Linked DNA regions of Caenorhabditis elegans. The protein of the gene in region 1 purifies or fractionates together with the protein of each later gene. This does not show direct contact. Each region holds a gene or a part of one and is shown on either strand. Other genes may lie near its edges.

Evidence for each region.
Region 2: the proteins of C05C10.3 (region 1) and etfa-1 fractionate together in Caenorhabditis elegans (co-fractionation; one large-scale study listed by BioGRID). This does not show direct contact.
Region 3: the proteins of C05C10.3 (region 1) and fkb-1 fractionate together in Caenorhabditis elegans (co-fractionation; one large-scale study listed by BioGRID). This does not show direct contact.
Region 4: the proteins of C05C10.3 (region 1) and F20D6.11 fractionate together in Caenorhabditis elegans (co-fractionation; one large-scale study listed by BioGRID). This does not show direct contact.

The regions. Positions count from the first base shown.
Region 1 is NC_003280.10:9,933,731-9,939,221, reverse strand, and holds C05C10.3 (putative succinyl-CoA:3-ketoacid coenzyme A transferase, mitochondrial), read left to right. Parts: upstream 1-2,328; 5' UTR 2,329-2,333; coding exon 2,334-2,511; intron 2,512-2,729; coding exon 2,730-3,219; intron 3,220-3,287; coding exon 3,288-3,663; intron 3,664-3,711; coding exon 3,712-3,909; intron 3,910-4,351; coding exon 4,352-4,675; 3' UTR 4,676-4,808; downstream 4,809-5,491. Other genes in the region: C05C10.7 (uncharacterized protein), read left to right, coding at 287-336, 387-620, 675-767, 812-1,079; pho-11 (Putative acid phosphatase 11), read right to left, coding at 4,858-4,878, 4,925-5,065, 5,111-5,251. UniProt on the Caenorhabditis elegans protein: Key enzyme for ketone body catabolism. Transfers the CoA moiety from succinate to acetoacetate. Formation of the enzyme-CoA intermediate proceeds via an unstable anhydride species formed between the carboxylate groups of the enzyme and substrate.
Region 2 is NC_003279.8:7,700,732-7,705,511, forward strand, and holds etfa-1 (putative electron transfer flavoprotein subunit alpha, mitochondrial), read left to right. Parts: upstream 1-1,697; 5' UTR 1,698-1,702; coding exon 1,703-1,750; intron 1,751-1,887; coding exon 1,888-1,980; intron 1,981-2,179; coding exon 2,180-2,309; intron 2,310-2,354; coding exon 2,355-2,645; intron 2,646-3,191; coding exon 3,192-3,448; intron 3,449-3,497; coding exon 3,498-3,608; intron 3,609-3,654; coding exon 3,655-3,723; 3' UTR 3,724-3,858; downstream 3,859-4,780. Other genes in the region: gna-2 (glucosamine-phosphate N-acetyltransferase), read left to right, coding at 1-143; T23G11.11 (uncharacterized protein), read left to right, coding at 450-617; T23G11.1 (uncharacterized protein), read right to left, coding at 686-1,050, 1,097-1,238; lsy-22 (STI1 domain-containing protein), read right to left, coding at 4,481-4,735.
Region 3 is NC_003282.8:11,034,603-11,037,881, forward strand, and holds fkb-1 (peptidylprolyl isomerase), read left to right. Parts: upstream 1-1,979; 5' UTR 1,980-1,983; coding exon 1,984-2,111; intron 2,112-2,156; coding exon 2,157-2,268; intron 2,269-2,319; coding exon 2,320-2,499; 3' UTR 2,500-2,572; downstream 2,573-3,279.
Region 4 is NC_003283.11:8,195,924-8,200,926, reverse strand, and holds F20D6.11 (Rieske domain-containing protein), read left to right. Parts: upstream 1-1,832; 5' UTR 1,833-1,842; coding exon 1,843-1,949; intron 1,950-2,029; coding exon 2,030-2,249; intron 2,250-2,372; coding exon 2,373-2,612; intron 2,613-2,654; coding exon 2,655-2,873; intron 2,874-2,922; coding exon 2,923-3,354; intron 3,355-3,402; coding exon 3,403-3,511; intron 3,512-3,559; coding exon 3,560-3,737; intron 3,738-3,782; coding exon 3,783-3,890; intron 3,891-3,938; coding exon 3,939-3,975; 3' UTR 3,976-4,153; downstream 4,154-5,003.

The DNA.
Region 1 (5,491 bases):
GTGTGTGAAATAGGTGAGAGGGAGAAAAAATGGGTCTGTGGAATGAATGACAAGCGAAAATTTAAATGAAAAAATCAGAATTTTCCCGCGCATAATTTTAATTTTCGACTGATACACTTTCATCGGTAAAATAGAGGCAGATCAATAAAATAAGTAGGTCGAAAATAATTGTTTTTGTTTTTTTTTAAACGCGCGCGCACAAATAGTTCAAACACGATGACGCAAAAATACACAGTTTCGCAGTTTTTTTAAATTTCTTTTGTTTTACAACACTCTTTTCTGAAAAATGTCAGATTTTGACGATTCTGATTCAGAATTTCAAGGATTTGAGCTAAGGTTTGTTTTATTTTAATAACTAATAATAATTCTAATATTAACTTTTACAGATCACCTCAGATCCATGTAAAAGAATTCTTGATAGTCGAAGAAGAAACTCCAAAAATCATCAAAAAGGAAGAGGTTCCAAGGAAGTTCGAATCCGAGTTTGTTGGCTCATTTCTGGGAGAAAGTCCAGTTGTACTTTCAAAAGAAACAGCGTTTGGAGAAGCTGGAGAGTCGGAAGTTCTGGATTGGGATGCCAGTACAGTTTTCAACAGCCTAGCTTGCCCTGAAAACAACCTGTGCGTTTTTTAAAAGTATACATTTTATAAAGAATTAAATTTGCCTTTTTCCAGAGAAAAGTCAGTATGCGTCATTCGTCTCCACGACGTCCTCACAAAATCCGAAATGGGAGTACACAAAATGAAGCGACAACTTATTCATTGCGGGTCGGTCTTGGAAATCAAACTTTTCATCAATTGTCAATTTTAAGACAGCTCCTTGATGAATATTCTCCTCAACAACGTCGTGATTTGGGCTTTGATGATTCTCAAAATGTGAAGAATCTTCTTCAAATGATCCGAGCGTTCCGGTCAACTGTTAAAATCATGCTGATCGACGTGGAGGATCTTCAGGACCAGATTACACAAGAAGCGCAAGATGAGACCCCAATTATATCCAAATTTTCGAAACTTTTATACGTTTCCGGTGCATTAGCCGTCATTCCTATTTGTTGGTTTATGTACCGCAGATTTTGTTAAGTTATCTTTTAAATCTTGAATAAAAATTTAAAAAAAACATATGTTTTATTAAAATTGCTCTTATTCGTAACTATGTACGGATTTATATATATTTTTTTAATTGTACAATTCGCTAAAATGACAGTAAACTACATTTGAAAATTTTATTTAAAAAGAAGCTAACGTCAGTAGCACACTTGTGTCCTGGCCACCTGTCTCTGTTGCCCTCCCATCCTTATCACAGATCACACTTCAAACATCAAACTTCTCAAGGCAGAACTCCTCCCAAATATCACCCGAATTTTTCTTCTCAAAACTTTTCGCCAGTCTCACAACCACGTGTTTCCCAGACCTTCAGTTAACTTCACTTCTCATTTTCCCTGATTTTCTGTCTGCGTCTCTATAAAAAGTAGACAAAAAATGCGAAAAAGAAACGTTTTTGTGTACTCAAGTTGTGACACACTCGCTCAGACTATTGGCTACTGATGGTTTTTAGTTTTTTTTTTGCTTTAGACAATTCTACCTCTAAAAATTAAGATTTTATAACAGTTTTCTAAATTTTTATTAGTTCAGTGAATTTATCATGATTTTTCTAGAGCCCCATCGGAATTAACATTGAAAATTTTACCCAGACGCGTTATTTTTGCAACTTTTGTACTAAAAATACAGAACCCGGTCTCGACACTGCAAAGTTTGTTAATTGAAAAAATATGTGTACCTTTAAAGAGTACTGTAGTTTTAAAATTTCGTTGCAGCAAAATTTTTATATTTTTTCTCGCATTAAACTTTAACTGTTTTTATTGTTTTGTTTTAGTTTTCTTGATAATATTTTGAAATACTTGAGATAATTGAAAAACTGTGAAAAAATCTATGAAAATCATACAGAAACGATAGTTTGAAATTACCGTACATTTTAAAAGCGCACTCCTCTTCGCGTTATTACGGGAACAATAAATCATGAGAATGCGTACTTGGTACCGTAATAAATAAAAAATTGTCGTGTCGATACCGGGTTTTATTATTTTCAGTAAATGAGACGTTCCCATCACTAAAACGTTTTATTTGTACGTTTCCGCTACTTTATTGTAAATAATATTGATAAGAAATCAAATACGCAACACGGAAATTGTTATCGAGTATCAACACACAATTATAATCTTTTCTACTTAATACCGATTCCTTGTTCCACAAATTTGACTTTCTGGTTTTTCCATCTTATAATCCTAAATATATTGTTTCTTTTTCCAAAATTAAAAAAATTTTCATTCAGATAAAATGCCGATTCTCTCAAAAATATGGGCGGCTCCAGCAGCTGGAATCTTGAGAAAAACTCCGAGAAATGCTCATCAAATGAGGCTAATCTCAATGACATCCTCGATGAAAGCAAAAGTCTTTAACTCTGCCGAAGAAGCCGTGAAGGATATTCCAGATAATGCAAAGCTTTTAGTTGGCGGTAAGATTTGGAATTTTTTTATGTTACCAAAATTTTGCGATTTTTGCGCCAAAAATACGGTAAGTCGAAATTACAGTACTCTTTACCTTTTTGCATTCAACGAAAATGTTTGTGTTGAGAACAGTTACCGTATTTTTGGCGCGAAAATCACAAAAAAATGTGTCTCGGCAATTTTGAAAATACTTTAATATCAATAGAAATAAAGTAACCAATTTCAGGCTTCGGACTATGCGGAATCCCAGAAAATCTCATCCAAGCTATCACAAAAACTGGTCAAAAAGGTCTTACATGTGTATCAAACAATGCGGGAGTTGATAATTGGGGACTTGGCTTGCTCCTTCAAACTCGACAAATCAAGAAAATGATCTCATCGTACGTCGGTGAAAACGGAGAATTTGCTCGACAATATCTTAGCGGAGAGCTCGAGTTGGAATTCACACCACAAGGAACACTCGCCGAACGAATTCGTGCAGCTGGTGCCGGTGTTCCCGCATTCTACACACCAACAGGATACGGTACCCAGATTCAAGAAGGAGGTGCTCCGATTAAGTACAGTAAAACTGAAAAAGGAAAGATTGAAGTTGCAAGTAAAGCGAAAGAAACACGACAATTCAATGGAATTAATTATGTAATGGAAGAGGCTATTTGGGGAGATTTTGCATTGATCAAGGCGTGGAGAGCAGATACTCTTGGAAATATTCAATTCAGGTAAGAATTAAAAAAATTAAAAAATCATTTTTGAAAAATTACAACAACAACAAAAATCAAAATTTCAGACATGCTGCTGGAAATTTCAATAATCCAATGTGCAAAGCCTCTAAATGCACCATCGTCGAAGTAGAGGAAATCGTCGAACCGGGAGTAATTGCTCCAAACGATGTGCACATTCCATCAATCTATTGTCATCGTCTAGTTTTGGGAAAGAACTACAAAAAACCAATCGAACGGCCAATGTTCGCACACGAAGGACCAATAAAACCATCTACATCGGCTGCTGGAAAATCGAGAGAAATCATTGCAGCACGTGCAGCTTTGGAGTTCACAGATGGAATGTACGCCAATTTGGGTATCGGGATTCCGACTTTGGCGCCAAATTATATACCAAATGGATTTACTGTTCATTTGCAAAGTGAGAATGGTATTATTGGAGTGGTAAGGAAATTTAAATTAATTATTTTTATTTTCATTTTTGTTTTTCAGGGACCATATCCAAGAAAAGGAACAGAAGACGCCGATCTCATTAATGCTGGAAAAGAGCCAATTACTCTTCTCAAAGGAGCTTCAATTGTTGGTTCTGATGAATCATTCGCAATGATTCGTGGTTCTCATATGGATATTACTGTGCTCGGTGCACTTCAGTGCTCACAGTTTGGAGATTTAGCGAATTGGATGATTCCGGTGAGCTTTGAGAAAAAATAGATCACTGATAATTCGTTCTTTGTGTTTTAATCGACCGAGTGATAAGATAAATATGATCAGTGATCTGAAATTATTTATCAGTGATGTCTAAAAACGCTCGAAGTTTCAACTAAAAAAGATAAGCAACTCAAATTAAATAAAATGCACGCAGCACATAGACTGATCGAAAATTATTAACCGAACAATTTTGGCCAGATCTAGTCTCAATAAAAATAATTTTTTGATTAAAAATATTAATTCTACAAAACTCCAAAAAATCTTGATTTTATTTCTTAAATATATATCTGAATTTATTTTGTTGGTCCGAAAAAACTTTAAAAAAAAAACGAAAAACCCCCAAAAACAAAAAATTTAGACAACTTCATAAAAATATACTTTTCCGCTTAATCTTCCATCTTAATAAATTTCTAAAATTTTCCAGGGAAAATTGGTGAAAGGAATGGGCGGTGCAATGGATCTTGTCTCTGCTCCCGGAGCCCGTGTGATCGTTGTAATGGAGCATGTATCGAAGAACGGAGAGCCAAAAATTCTAGAGCACTGCGAACTTCCTCTGACCGGCAAAGGAGTAATTTCCCGAATCATTACTGATATGGCAGTTTTCGACGTGGACACAAAGAACGGATTGACATTGATCGAAGTCAGGAAGGATCTTACTGTAGATGATATCAAGAAACTCACCGCTTGCAAATTCGAAATTTCCGAAAATCTGAAGCCAATGGGACAGGCTCCTCTTAATCAAGGATAATTTGTCAATTTTGACAAATTTCCGTGAAATGTGTAAATACTTCTTTAGTCCGTTGTTTGTTACTTTTTTGTCTTTTGCCTATAATACCGGTTTAGGATTGTGTGAACAAAAAGAGTTTTAATGAAATAGTTCATAAAAAAATATAAAAATTGAGTTACAACAAAAATTACAGTTCCAGTAATTCATAGAGGAGTTTTGCAGAGCTGAAAATTTTTTATAAAGTCGAAATTTTTGGAAACAAGAGCTTACAGTAGTAATATCTGGAAGTGGCTTCAGTGTCTCGGCCAAAGTCTGAAGAGCTCCAAGTGGACACAAGGTGGCTCCATTACAAATTGGAAGTTGACTTGTCACATCAGAAATCGGAGTGTCATCTCCTTCACGGTACAGAACCTGAAAATTTAATTGTTCGAATTTTCTGGTTTCTCTCTGGAATACCTTGAAGAATCTCTCGTTTGTTGACGTGTTTCTGTGGAATTCCATAAATATTCCAGCTGCGTATGCTGGCCATCCGTCAAGTGTGTTAGCGATTTGTGGAATACCAAGAGCAACCAGGACACCGTACACATTGTTGTCATGCTGGAAAACGAATTTGTTGTGAGATCTTGGAAAATTGATTTCAAAAATTAAAAAAAACATTTTTTTTGTCAAAATTTTTTTTTCTGAAAATCCTGAAAAAATTCGCATGAAAAGTAACTAGCTTTTCTTTTCTTTTTTTTTATATTTCAATTTCTTAGAGTTACCTACAATGCTTGCCTACATTCCGACAAGCCTTGACTGGTGCCTCGGCATGAGGTAGGCAGAGGTAGCTAGGGATGA
Region 2 (4,780 bases), on another chromosome or scaffold:
TGGCAAGAAGTCTTGGAGTTTATAAACTTTCTCTGGAATGCAAAACAGAGCTTATCCCATTCTACAACAAATTCGGGTACAACGAGAACATCCATTTCATGGTTCAACGCTTCGACAAGCCAGAAATTATCACTTTGGACTAATATTTTCTCATAAATTCATCATATTTATTGTACGATAGAATTTATTTAGCTCTTAATTTCATTGAATAAAGCTGTGATATTCCTACGTATTACCTTTTTTAATATTTTCATGCCCAATGTGTCAGAAACAATTTAATATCTTTGAAATATACAAAAGGTTACGGTTTCTATGAAAAAACTTGAAACGCGTCAGCAGATCGGGAAATGCGCCAAGAGTGAGTGTAAGGCGCACGCCGCTCATTCAATCATTTATTTATTTGTTATGCAGTTCATCAAAGTTTTCAATGTTTTTCTATTTTTGAGATCATGATTGCTGTCACATCCGTTTGGACAAAATTCCGACGAGGTCTGCCTATTTACTCTTGGCCCCTCCTCGCCGCCACAATGATTTTCGTTGATTGGAATCACACTCGAGAATGGAAAGCAGCTGGAAGAGTTTCTGCTCTGGAAAAGGAGATTCTAGCAAAGCAATAATAAGTAGATAATAGTTGTAGAATAAATCTTTATTCATTCTGAATTTCAATGTCCGGTTCTCTTTCTTCTTAACGCGAAAAAGCAGTTGATGTTTTCATCGTCTGCAACTGTGCGGTACGCTGGTTTTCCTCCAAAAAGTGTTGTTTATTCTGATGAGCCATTGGCTTGATCATACTGTTTTGTGTAGTCTCGATGATTTCGGCAAATGTCAGCAATTTGTTGTCGTAGGAAGTCTTCAAAAGATGGAATGCAGTTTTGATGAGATCCTTCGAAACTGCCGGATTTCTGTACGAGAAATAAGCGAGGTGGAACAAGCTGACAGTTGTTTCAATGTAAAACGAAATAGCCAAGACGAAGTAGGATACAGCGACTGAAGTGAACGCCGAAATCATTTTTTCATAACTTGGTCCATTTTCAACAGCGGTTGCAGTGCCTGAAAGGATCGGTATTCATCGAAGCTTCGGCATAATACAACTTACTCAATGCAGTACGAGTAGACGCTTTTCCACGAGATCTGAGAGTCGAATTGATAGCAGTGTTTAGCTCGGAATCGCTCATCGGTGGGATGACGGCAGTGTTGGTCTCTGACTGCGCAGTACGGCTGTCGACGGAAGTTGCCATTCTTGATTCGATAGGCGTTGCTTGAAAACCTTTCGAGTTGTTGAGACTGAGCGAAAGACGAGAAGTGATTCTGTTTGAATTTGTGAGCAACGAAACCCTTTATCTGATTGTAATCGAGAATAATCGGCTGTCACGCATAATACCTTTTTTAATTTATAAAATTAAATGCGGAAATATATTTTATGATTTTCACGTTACACATTAGGAAAACCTTTTATCAAGTTTTTATTTAAATTAATTTTGGCAATTTCTACCCGCGCGCGTACTTTGACCCATCATTTTCTTGTTTTTCTTTTCTATCTCGGTCTCTCTGTATCTATCTCTCACCCATCCTTCTTATCATTTTCTTTATTTTCTTGGTGTAGTGCCCGTTTTTTTCAATCGTTCCACGTAAATTTGTTGTTCTTTTAATGTTTTTTTTTTCTTTTAAACGTTTTTTTTTATTTATGATATTTTCAGCCGAAATGCTCTCTGCAAGAACTGTCCTTAGCCGTGCTGGCTTGATCAGCAATGTAAGTTTTTTGTGAGAATCAGCTGTGGGTATATGATTTTTCGATTTCCAAGGTTTTCGAATTGAATATTCAGTAAATGACTCATAAATTAATTCCATAAATTGAAGAATAGAATTATAAAAAATATTAAATTACAGGCCTCCCGTCTGAACAGCACTCTTGTTGTCGCCGAGCACGATGAGACAAAGCTTGCTCCAATCACTCTCAATGCTATCACTGCTGCTTCTAAAGTGAGTACAGACGGAATTAAAAAAATATATTTATAAATTGTATAATTTTCAAGCGAATCGCAATGCAAAATGTGATCTATGATCATTGTTCCCTCCAAGTATTAGTTGTAGTCATGTTTCGAATCTTGTTAGTTATTTACAAGAGTACAGACCCTATTTTGTAGCGCGCTTCCAACTATTTTAACTAATTTTATTTCAGCTCGGAAATGAAGTATCTGTCCTCGTCACTGGAGCCAACGCAACAAAGGTTGCTGAACAAGTTGCAAAAGTGAATGGAGTGAAAAGAGTTCTTGTGGCTCAAGATGAGAAGCTGAAGAATAATCTTCCAGGTAATATAAACCGAATTAATTTTTCTATTATGCTCGTATTTTCAGAACGAGTGGCTCCAGTTATTCTTGCTTCTCAAAAACAATTCAATTTCACCGCCATCACCGCTGGATCTTCAGCATTCGGACGTGGAGTTATTCCAAGAGTCGCCGCTAAGCTTGACGTATCTTCAATCTCTGACGTCACTGAAGTTCATTCGGCTGACAGTTTCACTCGCACTTTGTATGCTGGTAATGCAGTTAAAAAAGTGAAGAGCACCGCACCGATCAAGCTTCTCACCTTCCGTGGAACATCGTTCGAACCAGCAAAGGAAGGAGGAAGCGGCGCTGTTGAAAATGGTAACATAGAAAATCGTTTTATCCAGATGCGAAGATGCGAAGGATTTTGCTCCAAGAATAAGGTACCTGCTCTCGAAGCGGCAGTTTTACTCGAACTCGAATAAGTGTATGGCTTTTAAGGGGTACTGTAGTTTTTACTTGTTAGCGGATTTTCTGAGATTTTCCGAGTTTTTCTTCTGTTTCTTCAAAGTTTGAAATTTTAAAATGTTAAAAACGGACGAAAACTTCAAAAAAAAAGTCGAAGAAAAGCTTGCAACAACCAACTACAGTAGCCCTCAAAGACGCAAACACATTTTCATTTAAGAAAATCTGCCGCTTAGAGACCGGGTGCCGTATTAGAGATAAAATCGCAAAATATCGCATCTGGGTAATATATGAAAGAAAGTACGTAAAAATTTGCCTGAAAAACGAACCCCCAGAAACTGGCCGAGCCTACTTTTCTTGTTTATTTTTATTTTTTATGACTGAGTAGGACAATTCGAGACAGTTATCCCACAATTGATAGTCCACATTTAATCCTGATCTTTGTCAAAAGTCTTTATTCAGCCCCATCCGCTGATATCAAAACCGACCTCAGCGAATTCCTTGGCCAAGAATTGAGCAAGTCTGAACGTCCTGATCTTGCAACTGCCAAAGTCGTCGTTTCTGGAGGACGTGGATTGAAGAGTGGAGACAATTTCAAGCTCATCTATGATCTTGCTGATAAGCTCGGAGCCGGAGTCGGAGCATCCCGTGCCGCTGTTGATGCTGGATACGTACCAAATGACATGCAAGTCGGTCAGACTGGAAAGATTGTAGCGCCGGTAAGAAATCCATTAAGTGAGAAGCAAAGAAAAATGAATTAATTTATAGGAACTCTACATTGCAATCGGAATTTCTGGAGCCATTCAACATTTGGCTGGAATGAAGGACTCAAAGGTGATTGTCGCCATCAACAAGGATCCTGATGCACCAATTTTCCAGGTAAAAATTGAATTTAACACAAAATTGTTAATTCTAAATAATTCAGGTCGCTGATATTGGATTGAAAGCCGATTTGTTCAAGGCCGTCCCAGAACTGACTGCTGCTCTTCCATGAATACCTTCAAATAGCCTAATGTAGATGTGTCTTCTAAATTATTGTATTCTATTTAGTAACTCGGTTTATCGGGATATTGTGATTTTCGTTTTTATGCTTTCAATGTGAATAAACAGCCAAATCTGTTTTATGAGCGTTATCACGCGATTCATAAAGAACAATTGAGAAGAGCAACACTGGAGAAAACCGAAATGAGAATTTTGTATCAAATATCATATTCACAAGAAGCACGGAAACAACGAGAAAATGCGAGACAAGTGAGGTGACGAATTGATAGATAAATACTGGAAAATTTGAAACATTCCTGGTGATGGTTTTGTGATTGGGAAATTACTCTTCTATTAATCAAAACGAGATACCCGCTGCGGGATGCAAAAAAAAGCGAATGGGGAGGATTGGGGGGAACAAGAAACTGAAAGATTTCTCAAATTTTTGAAGAATAAAAATGATGAAACTGATGGGCTGGAATAACAAAGAGATCGACAAAAAAGTCCGACGCAGCAGAGAACATTATGAGAATTTCATTTTAAAATGGACGGCGATTGAAAAAAAAAGAAACAACGAATATTTAAAACGGAAAGTTGGACCTGTATTAGAATGCGAAAAGGCCAAACATAAAAACAATATTTTTCAAAAAAGAAAAAATGGATCCAGAGGTCAGCCGCCACCGAAAAAGGAGGATTTTGAGAGGATGAGAGATTACACTATATATCGATAGATATCACAATCGATAATACTAAAATATGTCGGTACAGGATCAAGCAACCGCCACTGTCGAATTTTCTTCTTGTTTGATTGTTGCAGTAGCAGTAGTTGCGGCCACAGCAGCAGCTACATCATGTTCCATTGTCTGTGGTTCTTCTTCTTTAATCGTTGGTTCTGTGGTGGGTCGAGGTGAATTCGTGGCTGATGTGGTTAATGGAGTTCGTGTTCGAGAAGCGGCTCCAGATGTTGATGGATTCCTTGATGGTGTAGAAACTGCTACCGATGCAGCGGCGGCCATTTGCTGAAACTGGAAGATTATGAAAATATGTTGTACAGAAATGGATAGAAAATT
Region 3 (3,279 bases), on another chromosome or scaffold:
GAATACTGCCGGTATTCTGTCAGGACTCATTAGGTTTAGTGGAGAGTTGGAAATGAAACTAAAACCTAATGAGACCCCAGAATACTGCCGGTATTCTGTCAGGACTCATTAGGTAGAGTGGAGATTCACAGAAGAAACTAAAACCTAATGAGACCCCAGAATACTGCCGGTATTCTGTCAGGACTCATTAGGTAGAGAGGAGACTCACAGAAGAAACTAAAACCTAATGAGACCCCAGAATACTGCCGATATTCTGTCAGGACTCATCAGGTAGAGAGGAGATTCACAGAAGAAACTAAAACCTACTGAGACCCCAGAATACTGCCGGTATTCTGTCAGGACTCATTAGGTAGAGTGGAGAGTTGGAAATGAAACTAAAACCTAATGAGACCCCAGAATACTGCCGGTATTCTGTCAGGACTCATTAGGTAGAGAGGAGATTCACAGAAGAAACTAAAACCTACTGAGACCCCAGAATACTGCCGGTATTCTGTCAGGACTCATTAGTTAGAGTGGAGATTCACAGAAGAAACTAAAACCTAATGAGACCCCAGAATACTGCCGGTATTCTGTCAGGACTCATTAGGTAGAGAGGAGATTCACAGAAGAAACTAAAACCTAATGAGACCCCAGAATACTGCCGGTATTCTGTCAGGACTCATTAGGTAAAGAGGAGACTCACAGAAGAAACTAAAACCTAATGAGACCCCAGAATACTGCCGGTATTCTGCCAGGACTCATTAGGTAGAGAGGAGACTCACAGAAGAAACTAAAACCTAATGAGACCCCAGAATACTGCCGGTATTCTGTCAGGACTCATTAGGTAGAGAGGAGATTCACAGAAGAAACTAAAACCTAATGAGACCCCAGAATACTGCCGGTATTCTGTCAGGACTCATTAGTTAGAGTGGAGATTCACAGATGAAACTAAAACCTAATGAGACCCCAGAATACTGCCGGTATTCTGTCAGGACTCATTAGGTAGAGATGAGACTCACAGAAGAAACTAAAACCTAATGAGACCCCAGAATACTGCCGGTATTCTGTCAGGACTCATTAGGTAGAGAGGAGATTCGCAGAAGAAACTAAAACCTACTGAGACCCCAGAATACTGCCGGTATTCTGTCAGGACTCATTAGGTTTAGTGGAGAGTTGGAAATGAAACTAAAACCTAATGAGACCCCAGAATACTGCCGGTATTCTGTCAGGACTCATTAGGTAGAGTGGAGATTCACAGAAGAAACTAAAACCTAATGAGACCCCAGAATACTGCCGGTATTCTGTCAGGACTCATTAGGTAGAGAGGAGATTCACAGAAGAAACTAAAACCTACTGAGACCCCAGAATACTGCCGGTATTCTGTCAGGACTCATTAGTTAGAGTGGAGATTCACAGAAGAAACTAAAACCTAATGAGACCCCAGAATACTGCCGGTATTCTGTCAGGACTCATTAGGTAGAGAGGAGATTCACAGAAGAAACTAAAATCGTATAGAACCCGCGATGATCACATCTATCCCATGTGCACTAAATTTCCTCGTTTTTACTGGATTTTTGAATGTTTCAGTTGAAAACCAATCTGTTCCGTTTTTGGGAACGGAGTGGATTGATGCCGAGGCTTTGAGGCAGCCTTTGCGAGAGATTTGGCACTCATTTTGTCTGAAATTAATTATTTATAATAGAAAAACTGAATTATTTTGTAAAATTTGTAAAGAAAACGGTAAAAATCTGTTTAAAACTCGGGAAAACTCAAAAACTATGAACTATGAGTTAAAAATCCGACAAAAGTTGCGCCAACAACTTTTGCTGACCCATTACTCGTTTTCTCTGCGTCACAACGCCACGTTTGCTTGACTTTTGTTTGCACACCTTCGATTGCTCTTTTGCACTGATTTCTCTGTCCATTTTTCTATTCATAACGTATTTTTTCAATAATTTTTCGTTGTATTGTGCTTCTAAAAATCAATTGTATTGTTGTAGGATCATGAAAACCGCTGTTATCGTTGGACTTTTGTGCCTATTGGCGATCGCATATGCTGCCGATGAGCAGAAAATCGATAAATTGCAAATTGGAGTCAAGAAGCGTGCCGAGAACTGCGTTCAGAAATCCAGGTAAGCTTACTCTTTTTAATTAAAATAAAAATGTTAAATTTACAGAAAGGGTGATCAATTGCACATGCACTACACCGGAACCCTTCTCGATGGAACTGAATTTGATTCCAGCCGCACTCGCAATGAAGAATTCACTTTCACTCTTGGACAAGGAAATGTTAGTTTTTAAAGAAAAAACCAATATCAATAATTAAAATTGAAATTATAGGTGATCAAGGGATGGGATCAAGGACTTCTTAACATGTGCGTCGGAGAGCGTCGTATTCTCACAATTCCACCACACCTTGGATACGGAGAACGTGGAGCCCCACCAAAGATTCCAGGCAACTCTGTCCTCAAGTTCGACGTTGAGCTCATGAAGATTGACAGAGACGGAGAAGAATTGTAAACGAACTACGGATATTTAGAAAACGTGCCTTTTGTAACTTATTCATGTTCTCAGAGTATAATTTTTTTTTGCAGTTTTTTTTTTTGTCTTTATAAACATGCCCATTCTATATATTTGGACCGTCTGCGGCCATTGATCACAACCGCGTCTCGCTTCTCTTTATCACCTTGTATTGCACTCTGTCAGCGAAAATGATAGGGTGTGCGAGACATTTATCAATTTCCATACACCTTTTTCTCTTCTTACCTAGTAATGCCTTGCTTTCTTAGTTTTTAAGAATGATTATTTTAATCTGAAAATCTGGAATCAACAGTTTCGTAAATATTAGAATTCAAGTATGTGGTTCCTCTGTAAATAAAAAGCACGAATCGAAAAAGGAAATGCATTTTTGAAAATGTCGAACAATAAACAAAAAATTGGAATTCTATTAGTAGAAACCCAATTAAAACTGGCATCCATGAATTATTGCACCAACGATCCGAATGCTTCTTTTCTCTTTTTTTTTGTTCATGCTCCATCCTAACAATAGTTATAAATTGAGGTCGATTCTTGCTCTTCGTTGTCTTCTCTCAACACACGAGTAAATTGAGTATTCCTTGAGAGCCTCCTGTGAGAGTATTTGTGAGCCTTGTATTTCCTTTCTCTCACTGCTTTCTTCTTCAGTTTTGATGTATAAAAGTATGAATAATAAAACTGACATTTCGCACTGAAAATTCAACGTGGTTTCGGGAGTAATATTTGCATAATCCGTCTTCTTGAAACCAACGGAGCGTGATGGAA
Region 4 (5,003 bases), on another chromosome or scaffold:
CAAAAAAAAAAGTTTCAATCCGTAGAGACTCACTCAAACATTCACTTTCAATGACAATAGCCAACTGCCGTGCTAATAATTGAACAAACTGACAGTATACTTCATTTCACGCTTGTTTCAAGCGAATGTTCAGCTTGGCTTATAGCAGTTTTTTCAGAGACCCGAGCTTTTATAAAATTCCGGTGGACTCATAAAATATGGTCACAAAACCAAAAAACGAAAAGCATCATTCATCCATACCAAATGATTTATGTGGTAATCAAAGCTTAAAATGAAATTCTTATGATTTCTGATTCTTTGATTCTAAAGCTTGAAAAATGTGATTCTAAAGCTTGAAAACAAGCTTGAAATATAATTTTGTTTGCCATGAGATTTTTGGATAAAAGACGATTTTTTTGCAATTATCGTTCACAAAATTGTTCTTTACAACTATCCCGAATGAAACTACTGAAAATTAAACATTATATGATTATTGTGGAATATTATTTTGAACTAAATTATCAGCTTTGATTATTTGAAATTGAAATTCCGGCAAGGAAGTAATCGTACTTTTATAAAAATTTTCATAGCCCATAAGTTCACATTTTCCCGTCCAAAAACAATTGTCTCTATAAATATGTTCATTGAACCTCTTTTTCCTAAATTTCCGCATTTTCCCACTATTTCTCTCAATTCTCCCAATTATGTTGTTGTTTGTGAGTGTCACCATAGGCCGTTCTACGGAGAGTTTTGTTTGTATGTCTCGGTTCTCTTCATCTCTCGGTTTTCAAGAAAAGGGATTTTCCATTTTAACGTTTTTGCACTTTTTTTTAAAGCTAGTGATACCGATTTTTAAAAAAAACAATTAAGACGTATCATTTTCAAACTTAAAGGTTAAACTTTCAAACGACAAATTTTGATTTTTGAGCGTTTCGTTCCAATATGAAGGATCATGTTTCCTTCAACTGATCGTTTCGACGTTTTTTCTTCTCCAGTTTTTCTTGTTTACTTCGTTTAACCTTGATGATCTTCTAGTGGTTTATTGTCGAGATTTTCATTCAAAATTTACTAATTTCAATAAGATTTAAATCTAAAGTTTAGAGTCTTTGATGTATAAATTGGACATACTGAAAATTAAACGTTTTGGAAAATTTTCCGTAAGTACAGAAACATAGTTTCAAATAAAAAATTCGAAAACATTTCTAACCATTACGATTAATCAGAAAAAAAAAATAATTCAGAAAATAACGCTTCGTTTACAAAAACCTTCCACGCAAACAAATATTGTTTACCAAAAACTGATAACGTGGATGTTTTGAAATATGTTGTTGTTTTCCCACATCTTCGTTGATTTTTCTCTTTGAAGCTCTGGTATTTCAAGACTTAAAAGCATTTTTTGGCTTTCACCTTGACTTTCTTTTACCCTAGTTTAATAAGTATACAAGGTGTGAACTAAAAATTGTAACGATCACAAAGTTTCTTTTTCTCTGTGGTCAACTATCCTAGATACATGCCAGTGTCAGGCATTTGTCAGCATTTCCATTTGCCGCCTAGCAAATAGACCCAGCCTTTCGTGTGCTTCTCTTTTCCTTTTTCTTGTTCCTACAACTCAAAGTGCTCCAATTGGTCTCTGTAGCCCCATTTTTATATTTTTGTTATTTTTTGTACGAAGAATTTGCCCGAAACCTCTAGGACAAAGTTTGAAAACTGTACGTTTTTTCAATTAAACTTTCATCTATAGACTCTTATTGATAACAAAAATTGATGACTGATGACTACGTTTATTTATCATTCTTTTCCTTGATTTTCTGAAAAAAAAACGAATTTACACGTACATTTCTTTAATATTCCAGTATAATAACAATGGCTCTCGCCAATTGGCTAACCCCTGTTGAGCCGGAATGTGACAATGATGATTCTCCGGCAGTGGAGGAAATTCTCGGTAGAATCGAAGATGTACCGCCAGGAACGTAAGTAATTTCAACTTTTTAAAAACAGTTCTCTAAAGTTTTAAAAAGAAAATTTAAAAAATAACATTGTCTTTTTCCAGTAAGAAAATGTTCGAAGTTCGTGATCGTAAAGTTTTGGTGATTAACGACGAGGGTCGAATTTACGCTATTAATGGATTGTGTTCTCATTACAATTTCTCATTGGAGAATGGAACATATGCAAAAGGAAGAATTAGGTGCCCACTTCATGGAGCTTGCTTTAATGTTCGATCGGGAGATATTGAAGACTATCCAGGCTTTGACAGTCTTCATTCTTATGTGGTAAGTGGCACCCAAAAATTTATTGTTTTCGCATTTTTGGACAAATTCTTTTTTGAAAAGTTGGAGGTGACTGATTAAACTTTGTTGTCCTTTTTTTGTAATCAAACAATTATATTTTTCCAGGTTACTGTCAACGATGGAAACCTTATTATCAAGACAACTGAAAAGAAGCTAGGTTCTGATCGTCGAATTCGACATCTTCCAAAAATGAAGCAGTGTAATGATCGACCAGTTGTGATTATCGGTGGTGGTGTAGCTACAGCTACATTCATTGAGCATTCTCGACTTAATGGTCTTATAACCCCAATTTTAGTAATCTCAGAAGAGTCTTTGCCGCCTTATGATAGAGTCTTGCTGTCTAAGGTAATGTTAAATCTTTTTTTCTAAATTACCTATGATTTTCAGAAACCAGCAGCAACCGGAGAGGATATTCGTTTGAGAAAAGATGATGCGTTTTACGAAGAGAGAAATGTCAAATTTCTTTTGAAAACATCGGTGATTGCAGTAAATCATAAAAGTAGAGAAGTCAGTTTATCGAACGGAGAAACTGTTGTTTATTCAAAACTAATTATTGCTACTGGAGGAAATGTTAGAAAGTTGCAAGTACCCGGATCAGATTTGAAAGTGAGAGTAAAACGAAAATCTGAAAAATATAAACATGTGCAATTTCCAGAATATTTGCTACCTTCGTAAAGTAGAAGAAGCCAACATAATTTCCAACCTTCATCCTGGGAAGCACGTCGTCTGTGTAGGCTCATCATTTATCGGAATGGAAGTGGCATCCGCTCTGGCAGAAAAAGCTGCGTCAGTTACAGTTATTTCCAATACTCCGGAGCCTCTTCCAGTTTTTGGATCAGATATTGGTAAAGGAATCCGTCTGAAGTTTGAAGAAAAAGGAGTAAAGTTCGAGCTGGCTGCAAATGTGGTTGCTCTTCGTGGAAACGATCAAGGAGAAGTCTCAAAAGTTATTTTAGAGAATGGAAAAGAGCTTGATGTAGATCTTCTTGTTTGTGGAATTGGTGTTACCCCAGCCACTAAGTTTTTGGAAGGATCTGGTATCAAATTGGACAATAGAGGATTCATTGAAGTTGATGAAAAGTTTAGAGTGGGTTTAGTTTATTTTATGATGCTTTTTTAATCTCTAATACTTCAGACTAATATCAGCTACATCTTCGCAATGGGTGATGTTGTCACAGCTCCTCTCCCACTTTGGGATATTGACAGTATCAATATTCAACACTTCCAAACTGCTCAAGCACATGGTAAACCAGAAGATATTCAAATTTAACTATCGATGTTTAATATTTTAGGACAACATCTTGGATACACTATTGTTGGAAAACCTCAACCTGGACCTATTGTTCCATACTTTTGGACTCTGTTTTTCTTTGCGTTTGGTTTGAAGTTCTCAGGATGCAATCAAGGATCCACAAAGGAATACACTAATGGAGATCCTGAAACTGGAACTTTCATTCGATACTTCTTGAAGTAAGTGAACAATTATACATTTTTCATGTTAGTAAAAACTTTAAGAAAAGACAAAGTCGTAGCTGTAGCTGCTGGTGGTCCATCCAGTGTTGCCTCCCAGTTCGCTGAAATTTTCAAAAAAGGAATCGAAGTCACTCTGAAGGATTTGAAAAAGTTAGTTTTAATTTAAACATTAATGCAATTACCCAAATAAACTTGCAGCAGCAGCGATCACACTTGGGGACATCTTCTGCTATAGACGAGTGTAGGAATTCAGCAGTAAATAAATAAACTATTTGTTTGATTAAAAAAAATTTTTTTTGTGTTTTTTATGGAATGAACTAAAAACTGATTTATATGTATTCGCTGTTCCCAAAAATCCGATTTCTGAAAAAAAAAACCATTGGCTCTTCCTTTAATAAAAACTGAGAAATATTAGAAATATAACAATGCACCTGATTGTTTCACAAAAAACCACAGAACCAGTCAAAACTCTGAAAATGTATAAACTCAATTGAGATGCTCTTCTGTAGAGACTGATCTTCAGTAACCATAAAATGAACGTTTTCAACAAGGAAGTTCATAAAACGAGTGTAATTTTCACATGCAATAAATAACTACACTACAACTCTTTAGTTTGATTTGTGAAAATGCCAAAACTCACAAATCATGAGCAGTGTCACGTCTCAAATCCCAGACAGCAAACTGTGATAAGACTTGTAACTTAATCCACTCATTTGACTTGCATTTGACTCAACCCGGATACCAACCTTCTTACCCGGCTTATTCTCTCATTTCACTTCTTCATTTCTTGGCCCGGTGGTGATAAAACATTGGTTTTGATTGCGACGAGAGGCACTCACTCTTCCGTTTATCACTAACTCTTTGCTCATCCGGAGACCCTTGCTAATAGAGATAAACTTGTCGTTCTGTGTCTTGATATCATCCAACTCGTACCTTCTTCACCTTCTTTCTTTTTCATCTCTCTCACTCTTGGTCTATCACCTACATTTCACTCCACTGGATATACCGCCACCGTTTGTCACATGTGTCGACGAGTCCTCCTCTTTGTCATCGGGTCCGTGAGATATTAGAGAGTGTTTGATTGTGAGAGAGTATAGACAACGTAGCATTAGAGAAAACCTCCAGAGACTTGGCTCCACAGACCCTTTGCTCGATATCGATGTGATTATATGATAAAACTTTTTTGAACTTGATTATTATTTTTTGTTACACCTGTTACCTTGAATTTTCCAAAATCTTCTGAAATTTCAGATACCGTACTTC